Linked DNA regions of Oryctolagus cuniculus. The protein of the gene in region 2 purifies or fractionates together with the protein of the main gene of each other region. This does not show direct contact. Links are inferred from orthologs where the notes say so. Each region holds a gene or a part of one and is shown on either strand. Other genes may lie near its edges.

Region 1 (4,952 bases), on a different chromosome or scaffold from region 2:
GACACCATTCTTTTTTTTTTTTTTTTTTTGACAGGCAGAGTGGACAGTGAGAGAGAGACAGAGACAGAGAGAAAGGTCTTCCTTTGCCGTTGGTTCACCCTCCAATGGCGGCCGGCGCACCGCGCTGATCCGATGGCAGGAGCCAGGTACTTATCCTGGTCTCCCATGGGGTGCAGGGCCCAAGTACCTGGGCCATCCTCCACTGCACTCCCGGGCCACAGCAGAGAGCTGGCCTGGAAGAGGGGCAACCGGGACAGAATCCGGCGCCCGGACCGGGACTAGAACCCGGCGTGCTGGCGCCGCAAGGCGGAGGATTAGCCTAGTGAGCCGCGGCGCCGGCACACACACCATTCTAAGAACAGAGCAGCAGCTAACAGGCTGCCCTGATGGAAACCCTAAAGTCTCTGAGGGTGTGGGAGCCAAGAACTGAGCTACCTGTCATGGGGAGGGCACAGCCACGTGGGGGGCCCTTCTAAGATGCCCAAACCCTGTGGTCACACGCTGCACCCGACTGCTCCGACCCTACAGGGCCCAAAGGGGCCACAGCAGGAGCAACTGTCCCCCAGAATCCCTCGACATGAAAGGCTTCGGGACCCTCACTAAAACGCAAATGGCTACGAACATCTCAGAGAATCCGCCAGCCAACTAGATGCAAACATGCATCCAGGAGACTCCAGGCAGATCCCGGGGGTCCGCGGAAGCACGACCTGGAGCAGCTACTCAAATGAGCTTCGGTCGACTCAGCTGGGCTTCCGGCTGACCCTGACCAAGCCAGCCCTGCCGGTCCCCGAGCCCGGCTCGCCCAGCGCCCCGCGCCAGGACTCCGCGCCACCCCGCCTTACCTCACCTCCGTGGCTCGGCCAGGACTAGGAAGGTCCCCTGCTTCTACCTGAGTTCAGCATCGCTCCCTTTTCCTGGAAAAGCAAGGAAGACGAATGAGGGAAGAGTCTCTCCCGCCCCTACCACCTCGCCAGGCTCCGGGGACGCCGCGCGCTCTCAGCACGGAGGTGGAAGGGACAGGGTGCCCGGGGCGTTCCCAAGCTCGCGTCCGGCCGCCGGAGTTTGCCCTTCGCCCTCCACTCGCTGGTCCATCACTCTCACCGCTTCCTTTCTCGGCTTCTTCCCTTCCCTCCGCACGTGCCGAGTTCACCACCTCGCCCCGTTTGCACTTCAGTCCCCGCGCCGGGGGCCTGCCGGTCCCGTCCCACCCCGCCTCTCCGCCCCCGCCCTGACGTCGCTCGGCCGAGCCTCTCCGCACTGGTCCACACCCTCCCGGCCCACCTGCCTGGTCTCCACACGTGGGTCGCCGGAGAGCCGGGGCAGCAAAACACAGGGAGGGTGACAGCGAGGCCCCGCCCCCGGCCCGCCTGGCCGCCATGTTTACTGAGGGCATCTGAAGGCACCCGAGCCGCTGTGCGGACGCCACCGTGGCGTCCGGACGCGGGAGACGCGGGGCTGGAGGATCCCGCAGTCTGCACAGGCGCCTTCGCCAGTCCCCTCAGAACGAAAACTGGGGCGCACGGAAACGCGCGGTACCCCACGCAACCAGCAGCAACTCACAGCCCGCCCCGGCCGCCAGGAGCCGGCCGACTAAGCCACGCCCCGGGACGGGGGCGGGGCCGCGGTGTGGTCTCGCGAGGCACAGAAAAGGTCGAAGGAAGCGAAAAATGGCGCTTCGCGAGCCGGGCAATCGTACCTGCCCGGTGCGCTGGGCTGCGGCCCTGCTCCTCGCTCTGAGCGTGGAAAGGGCTGTGGCGCTACCCGAGGTACAGGAGCAAGTTTGAGGTCGGGCTGAAGCAGGGCCGCTGGCCTGCCGGTGTGTCGCGCCCGCCCGCCCGCCCGCGGCAGTCCCCTCCCCGACGCCGGCCTTGCGCCCCGGCTTCGTCCCTGGAGGGCAGCCGCCGGGATCCCGCAGCCGCGTCCGGCTCGCGGCGACACTCACGTCACTCTGGCCTCGGGCGCTCGCGCCGACACCACGTTCAAAGGCCTTTGAAATTTGATCTCCTCGCTGCTTCATCTTTGAATGACTTAAAAACATTGTTGGAACGGACGGGTCTCTGGCTCTCGGGCTCGCTGTCCACGCACTGTGCCGCGGTTGGACGGTACCTTCTGTGGAGCTTGATGAGTTCTCGGAGTACCCGCAGCCTCTTTACACCCGGCCAGGTGGGGCTGTCTGAAGGAGGCGGCTCTGGGGAGGGCATAGCAAAGACATCCCCTCCCTGGCCAGCTGTGGCACCCAAGTGTCCTGGTCCAGCCTGGTAACAGGGGCTCGGGGTACTGGCGGTGAATTCTTGGCACCAGTTGGTTCTCCGTTTTCTGTCTGGAAGCCTAACACGTGTGTTTTCTCTCCTGCAGATCTGCAGCCAGTGTCCAGGGGGTGTGCACAACGTGTCCGCAGTGGCGGTTTACTGTGAGCAGACACCGGGGCTAACGCTGCGTGCGCGCTGCTGCCTGGGTCCGACGGGCGCCATCGTGGGGTGAGGGCGCGGAGGCCATCCCTGGAGGCTGGAACGGTTCCCACGCTGGCGGCTGCCCGGCTTCCCGGCTTGGCTTTGCGGATGAACGCTGGTGCCTAGTTGGAGGCATCCAAACTCTGGTTCTCAAACTTTTAAATGTGTCATAGCACGAGGTTGTTAGAAACACAACCTTGTGTTTCTTTATGGATGAAACTTTGTAAAAGTCATAATGTTTGTGTAGCTTTTTTTAAGGCTTTTATTTATGATTTTTTTATTTATGATTTTGTTTTAAAAAGAGCTTTGGTCTGCTTATTATCAAGCCTTTGGGTTATTTATTGTGTGTCTCCATGAAATTCCTCCAAGACACTGCTCCGCGGCTCTTGTTCATTTTCTGGCTTATTTATATTTGTGTTGGGACAAGTTCTGCCTCTACCTGCTTGTACAGGTTAGTCTCTCAGATTCACTCCTTGGCCTTGCTGCCTTTCTCTGCACTCACAAGAGTTTCCCTGGGTCTCGGTGCCTCAGCTGTACCCATTCCGCAGGGGTCTGCCTAGGCCAGGCCTTCTAAGCACCATTGACTCCTCCAGGCCCACGGGCCTGGGCACCTCCAGCTGCTTATTAAATCCTCTGAGTGTACCCTCACATCAAACTCCAGATGTTATATCTGGCTTCCATCCTCATCTTTCCCTAATCTACCTAAATGGGTCTCTGTATTCCACTTTCTGAAAAGCAAAATTTTACCGTTATCACTTCCTTGCTTTAATATTTAGAACTGTTGCCCTCAGGATAAAGGCCAAACCATGAAGCACCACAGACCAGTCCCGACACACTTTTCCAACATTATCCTGATTCCTCAGCCATTCAAACTCTCCGTAAGGGTCCAGCTCCAGTCAGACTGGCACACCCCCCCCAAGGCATCCCACCTCTCTCCATACCCAAAATTACCATCCTCCAGCAAATTAGGACATAGTAGATCTGCAATTCCAACACCTTTGGTGAATGATCTCAGAGTAATGCCTTTTTGTTTTTTTAACTTCTGATCCTCAATGTCCATAGCAGTCTGTGGATGGTCCTGTGGATTTTTTTCCCATATTGTAATTTTTGATGACCGTCTGGTTCTGTATTATATGCCAGTAAAGGGCTAAGATGCTGAGTTACATGTTTTTTATATTCTCCCAATTTTTGTAGTTTAGAGTGTCTCAGTAAATATTTGTAGGATAAAGGAATAGACAGCAACAGGTATTGCAGAAAAAAAAATTTAAATGTTGCATGGTCCTTGATGTCCAGGAGTTTGTCACCAGTCTATGGTAGAAAATGGACTTGGAAAAACTCTCTTTCATATGACTTTTTTTTTTTTCCACTTAAAGGAGTACTGTGGATCTGAGGGTCGATATAATTTGAGATCCACTATTCTACACAAATACTAATTTCTTCAGTCTATGCACATGTTCGTAGGCAAACTGATGAGGGCGGTGCTGTGCAACAGAGCTCTCTTTAACAATGGGAACGTTCCATGTCTGGACTGACCAGCACAGCACTACTAACATTTCTACTTGAAATGTGGCCAGTGCGAGGGAGGCACTGGATTGCTGGGTTGAAGTGGTTAAAGTAGCCGTGGGTAGCTGGTGGGTGACGGTAGTGGGTAACGCGAGCCTAAAACGTCAACCTCAGCATCTGGTCTGTGACTCTGAACCCTGCTGTATTCACTTGATATTAGCTGAAGAGGGGGTTGCGTAATCAAACACAGACCTTGTCGTGGAAGAAGAGAAAGCAGACATCGTTACACACACTTTGTTTCCTCAGGCTGGATCTCCAGAACTGTTCTCTGAAGCAGCCTGGCCCAAACTTCCCTCAGGCACACAGCGCTGTCATCATGTAAGTAGTCAGGTGCCCTTCTGCCCAGAAAGCGAATAATGGCTAAAGGTTGATGGGGAGGTGCATATCGGCGTCTAAACTTGGGACAGTCGGGATGAGAATTGCATTACCGCTCCGGAAAGCTAGGGGAATGTCAGCAGGGTCTTCAATGAGCAGAGTGCTGACCGTGTGTGCTTTGCAGAGAGCTGCAAACAAACCCCCTCCAGGGTGACCTGACCGACACCTTCCGAGGCTTTACACAGCTCCAGACATTGTGAGTATGGGGACAAGATGGAGGGAGAGAACCAAAGGGGGCAGTGCCATGAGCTCAGCAGCTTAGGCTGCGTATTATGACCACTGTGTTGTCTTCAGGGTACTGCCGCATGATGTCAGCTGTCCTGGGGGTATTAGTGCCTGGGACACCGTCACCTCTTACGCAGACAACCAAACCTGCCAAGGGCAAAAGAACCTTTGTAACAGCACTGGAGACCCAGGTACGCTGGCTCACCTCACCTTCCTTCCTTGGACAGTTCTCCACTTTAGAGCAGAAAGCCAAAAATGCCTGAATGCATTTTGTTCTGAGGTTCTAACGACCCTTGGAAAGAAAAGATCTTAAACGTTCTACTGTAATTATTAGGTGTG
Region 2 (4,505 bases):
AGGCTCAGGCTAATGAAGACATCTGCAAGCTGCAGAACCCCCGCCCCGTGGCCGCCGCATCTTAAGGGACACACACCAAGCTAATGAGCATCTTCCCGCTCCTGAACTCGCCTCCCCGTTTATTGTTTTATTGGCTCCAATGCTGTCCCTCGGGGCCACCCCTCAAACAAAGCACGTACACTCCCAAGCAAGCTTTTAAACAAGCCAGCAAAGCACGAGAGATGCCAATTTCCTGCCTCCCCACACAAATAAAACCATGTGACGCCGGCTTTCCCAGGCGTTCCCAGGCCAGCGCCAGGGTGGCACAGCAGCCTGAAGCTGCACTCGGGGCTCCCCGCCTGCTGACTCCAGACGAATGCTTGCTCCCGGGAGCTCAGGAACACAGTGCTTGCGAAGGCATACTCACGACTGTACCCCACGAGGGACCCGATGGCCAGAAGCAGGCTCAGGGCTAACACGGGGGCTCTCTTCTGCAGCATGTCAGAGACGAAGCCTTGCAGAGTCCCACCTTGGAGCACAAGCATCATGGCACCATCAACGTCACTGCCTTTCAAACTCGGCCCGGTCACCTGAGCAGGGCCCCACACCCTCCCTTCTACCCTTAGGTCTAGCCCAAAAATGGCCGACTCTCCGGACGCTTCTACCATCATTTATTTTACAAAGATGAACTGTTTTGTTTTGTTTGTTTACAGATTTAATTATTTACTTGAAAGGCAGAGTTACAGAGAGAGGAGAGAAAGAGAGAGAGATCTTCCATCCACTGGCTCACTCCCCAAATGGCTGCAATAGCCAAGGCTGAGCCAGGCTGAAGCCAGGAGCCAGGAGTTTCTTCCAGGCTTTTCACATGGGCGCAGAGGCCCAGGCACTTGGGCCATCCTCTGCTGCTTTTCCCAGGGCATTAGCAGGGAGCTGGATCAGAACTGGAGCATCCGGGGCTTGAACCCATATGGGATGTTGGCACTGCAGGCCATGGCTTAACACACTGTGCCAAAGTGTCACCCCTGATGAACTGTTAAATCGCCATGATGGATGACAGGGACAGAACACCACTAATCAGACATCAAAATAAGAAACAAGGAAAAATCAAAACCATCTATTATCCCTGTTTCCCCTACAAAAATAAGTTGTGAATGCTTTTTCCGATGTTTCTGCTTTTGAACTTAAATGATGAGTAAGGACTGTGCCTCACAGGCTGCTAACAGTGGCTGATAAATGTTCACTGAGAATAAATCAGCAGTTGTGGTTCGGTAAGAACTGACAGGCAGGCCAGAATGTGAAAACAGGTGATGTGGGGCCTGCGTTGTGGCACCGGCAAGCAGCTGCCTGTGACGCTGGCATCCCGTATCGGAAGGCTCCTTCCAGTCCCAGCTGCCCCGCTTCCCGTCCAGCTCCCTCTAATGCCTCTGGGGAGGCAGCAGAGGACAGCTCACGTAGTGGGGCCCCTTCCACCCACGTGGGAGACCTGACGGAGTGCTGGGCTCCTGGCTTTGGCCTGGCCCAACCTGGGAGTTGCAGCCATTTGAGGAGTGAACCAGCAGACAGGTATGTATGTGTGTTTCTTCTCTCTGTCACTCTGCCTTTCAAATAAATAAATACATATTTAAAAATAAGAGAGGTGATGTGACTGTCACACTGGACACAGGGCCACTCTGAGCTCTAGGGCTGGGGGACATGTGGCCCATCTCCATCAGACACCTACGAAGTTCCAATCTCAGGGGACACAGAGGCAAGGACAGGTCCGAAGGAGGCCATCGCGCTCTAGACTCTGGGTCTAAGAACCAGGGCAGCCAAGCGCACAGACACAGCAACCGGACATCACCAAGGAATGCGTCAGGAGCTTTGATGCGCTCACCACAATCCCACGTGTCAGCAGAAGGGCAGCAGGCACTGTGTGTGCCCGTCTGTCTTTAAAGTTTCTTAGTGCCTTGCTCATAGCACAAAGTCACTATTAAAATCTGTTGTTTATAAGGAAGCAGTTGCATAACACAAAAATTAACCCCAGCTGTTACTGCTAGCGACACCCTGGGTGTTCTTTTCCTTATTTGGCTGGGGAGACGGGGAGGCGGGAGGCAGACACAGGAACACACAGGCCTCGTAACTCCCACCTCTGACACAGTCAGCTTTAGAGAGGCAGTGAGCGTCCAGGGGAGGTTCCGTGTGTGTCCTGAGACAAAGGACCGAGAAGACCCCTGCCGCCGCAGCGCTGCCCTGGCTGCGTCTTCCTTCCCAGGGACCTCTTTTCATTTTTTTTTTTTTTTCTTTTTTTTTTTCCAGAGTTTGGCTGTTTACTGGTAGGGCACTTTAGGGAAAATGGTTGTTAACTGAAGCCAGGCTTCACAGCCTGGTGAAAGACTTCTAGTGAACTAACTCTCCTACAGAAAGAGACGCATACCTATGATTCCTCCAACGTCGTACCAAATGGACAGCTGGTCAGCTTCGGCCTCCTTCCAGCCAAAGTTGTTACTCAGATAAAAGGGCAACCAGAAGAAGAAGGAGTAATTCACTAACTTGAGGCAGGCGTAGGCCAGGGAATACTAGAAGGAAAGCACTCGATCGTCAGTGAGCACAGCACGGCCTCAGCTTTTAACAAACTTCGGTACAGGAGCTGGGGATGAGCGGCCCCTGGCTCCCCGGTAAACACCTTTACAAATCCCCATCTGCCCACGGCACCTACTCCCCCCTTCCCTTTATCCCCAGTGGCTTCTCAGGTGCAGCAGGCTTTGAACTAACACCTGCCCACGACTGTTTCATAACCACCCCTAGTCTATCCTCCCAGCAGAAGCAAACCAGTGTTTGGGACCTAAAGGCAGGGCACAGGCTCATATTTCTTGACTAGAAGATAAACGATACCCATGCAACTAACTGGCGCTAACCATAGGCAAACATACAGTGCTTACTGCAGCGGTTAAAGGTTATCCTACTTCCTGCAAATTAACACTGAGAAAGTTGGAGAACAAGGTGACTCAACCATAGTTTCAGGGTCTAAAAAAAGCCTCAATGTTAAAACTGCTTTCACACTGGAGTTAACCCAAAGCCCAATCCAGTCCCACCCCCAGCGGAAAAGAAGAAAACAAACATCTCTGATGAGCCGAACGTAAAGGAACACGCGGTCTTCGACCTGCGGCTGGCTCTCCTTTGAGGGAGGGAAAAGCTGCAGCTGCCTGCGGATGGTTGGGAGGCGAAGACTCCTATATTCAACCCGTTATGACCAGGAAGTCCTGACATTTAGCATCAAAGGGAAGAGGAGGAGGGACGAGGGGCTGACTTCAAAGGCTGTCTGGCTAGTACATTCTTTTCCCCGGAGCTGCCACTTATTCCCTAGGTATCACTTGTTCTAAAACTGCTTCCACCCCCCAGAGAGTCAAATCCCAATGGTGAGTGGATGTTCCAGACAGGCCGCTGCAAAGACAAAGGGATGGAGCGGAGTAGATTTCCTTTACACCAGTGCCTTGGCGGAGAGCAGCTGCTCGTGAAGTACAAAGGGACAGCAAGAGTTCCACAGCTAGTCACAACAAACCTGCGCCCTCTCAGAAAGGACCCACTGCCAGCACTGACGATCCTCGCACAAGGAGAGGCCTTCGGGAGCTGCATTCCCCTCCATTACAGCACCGAACGTAAGAACTGTGGGAGGTGCACTTACAAGGCACTTCAAAAACTTCATGGGAAGCGGAATGAAAAGATGTTGACTTTGGTGCAAAAAAATTTCAAAATTTTTCATTTTTCCAATAATTTTTAGAAGCGCATACATTGTAATTCACACTCAAGTATCTGTTCAAATGTTAGTTCTCTTAGCTTGGGGACACAGGAGGGAGGGCACTGGTAAGTGAGAAATAAGGTGGCCTGCAGGCTTTTAATCCAAAGTGCACCACTAAAAAGTGAAAAAACAAGACAGGTGCTTGTTCTCAACACCATAACCCAGCCTTGTGAACCCCATGGGGGCTGGGGTCACCTCCGTCCCACAGGAAACAGCACAGATGGGCCGGGTGCCCTACCCGGGTCGCACAGAAAGTCAGCTGGGAGCAGCCTAGGCCTCCACTGCCACTGCAGTGCTGAGCGCCCGAAACAGAGACCACAAAGCTGCAGGACACAGGACTCAGCTCAGACGTTAGAAAGTCTTTCGGGCTGCAAAGGTGGAGTCTGGCACGCACGACCAAGGACACCGCAGTGCTCTGCTCTAGACCCCTTTTAAGAGTGGGGAAAAAAAAGTTTTTCCTGGAACAACCAGAATGTCGGCTATTAAGACATTTAATGAACCATTCAAACCCGTTCTTGGTCCTTATTCAGTTCTGTAATAACACAAAAGGCCAAAAAATACATATGCTTAAAAACACGAGGGGCGGGCATTTGGCACAGCGGTTAACACGCTGCCTGGACATCCTCACGGGCCTGCCTGCATTCAAGACCCAGCTCTGTCCCAATTCCAGCCTCCTGCTAAGGCACAGCCTAGAAGGCAGCAGGTGACAGCCCCAGTTACTGGGTTTCTGAAACTCACGTGGGATTCAGTT

Evidence for each region. The genes of interacting proteins can lie anywhere in the genome.
Region 1: the proteins of SLC37A3 (region 2) and ATRAID purify together in Homo sapiens (affinity purification with mass spectrometry; 3 studies listed by BioGRID and IntAct, counting the BioPlex papers as one, with this or other methods). This does not show direct contact. The link is inferred for Oryctolagus cuniculus from reciprocal best matches to the Homo sapiens genes SLC37A3 and ATRAID.

What each region holds. Positions count from the first base shown.
Region 1 is NC_091433.1:175,756,961-175,761,912, reverse strand, and holds the start of ATRAID (all-trans retinoic acid-induced differentiation factor), read left to right. Parts: upstream 1-1,597; 5' UTR 1,598-1,667; coding exon 1,668-1,766; exon of another isoform or gene 1,767-2,121; coding exon of another isoform or gene 2,122-2,163; intron 2,164-2,355; coding exon 2,356-2,477; exon of another isoform or gene 2,478-2,803; coding exon of another isoform or gene 2,804-2,901; intron 2,902-4,259; coding exon 4,260-4,331; intron 4,332-4,512; coding exon 4,513-4,584; intron 4,585-4,682; coding exon 4,683-4,804; intron 4,805-4,952. UniProt on the Homo sapiens protein: Promotes osteoblast cell differentiation and terminal mineralization. Plays a role in inducing the cell cycle arrest via inhibiting CCND1 expression in all-trans-retinoic acid (ATRA) signal pathway.
Region 2 is NC_091434.1:183,658,211-183,662,715, reverse strand, and holds part of SLC37A3 (sugar phosphate exchanger 3), read right to left. Parts: intron 2,535-4,505; coding exon 2,393-2,534; intron 509-2,392; coding exon 407-508; intron 1-406. UniProt on the Homo sapiens protein: Unlike the other SLC37 members, lacks glucose-6-phosphate antiporter activity.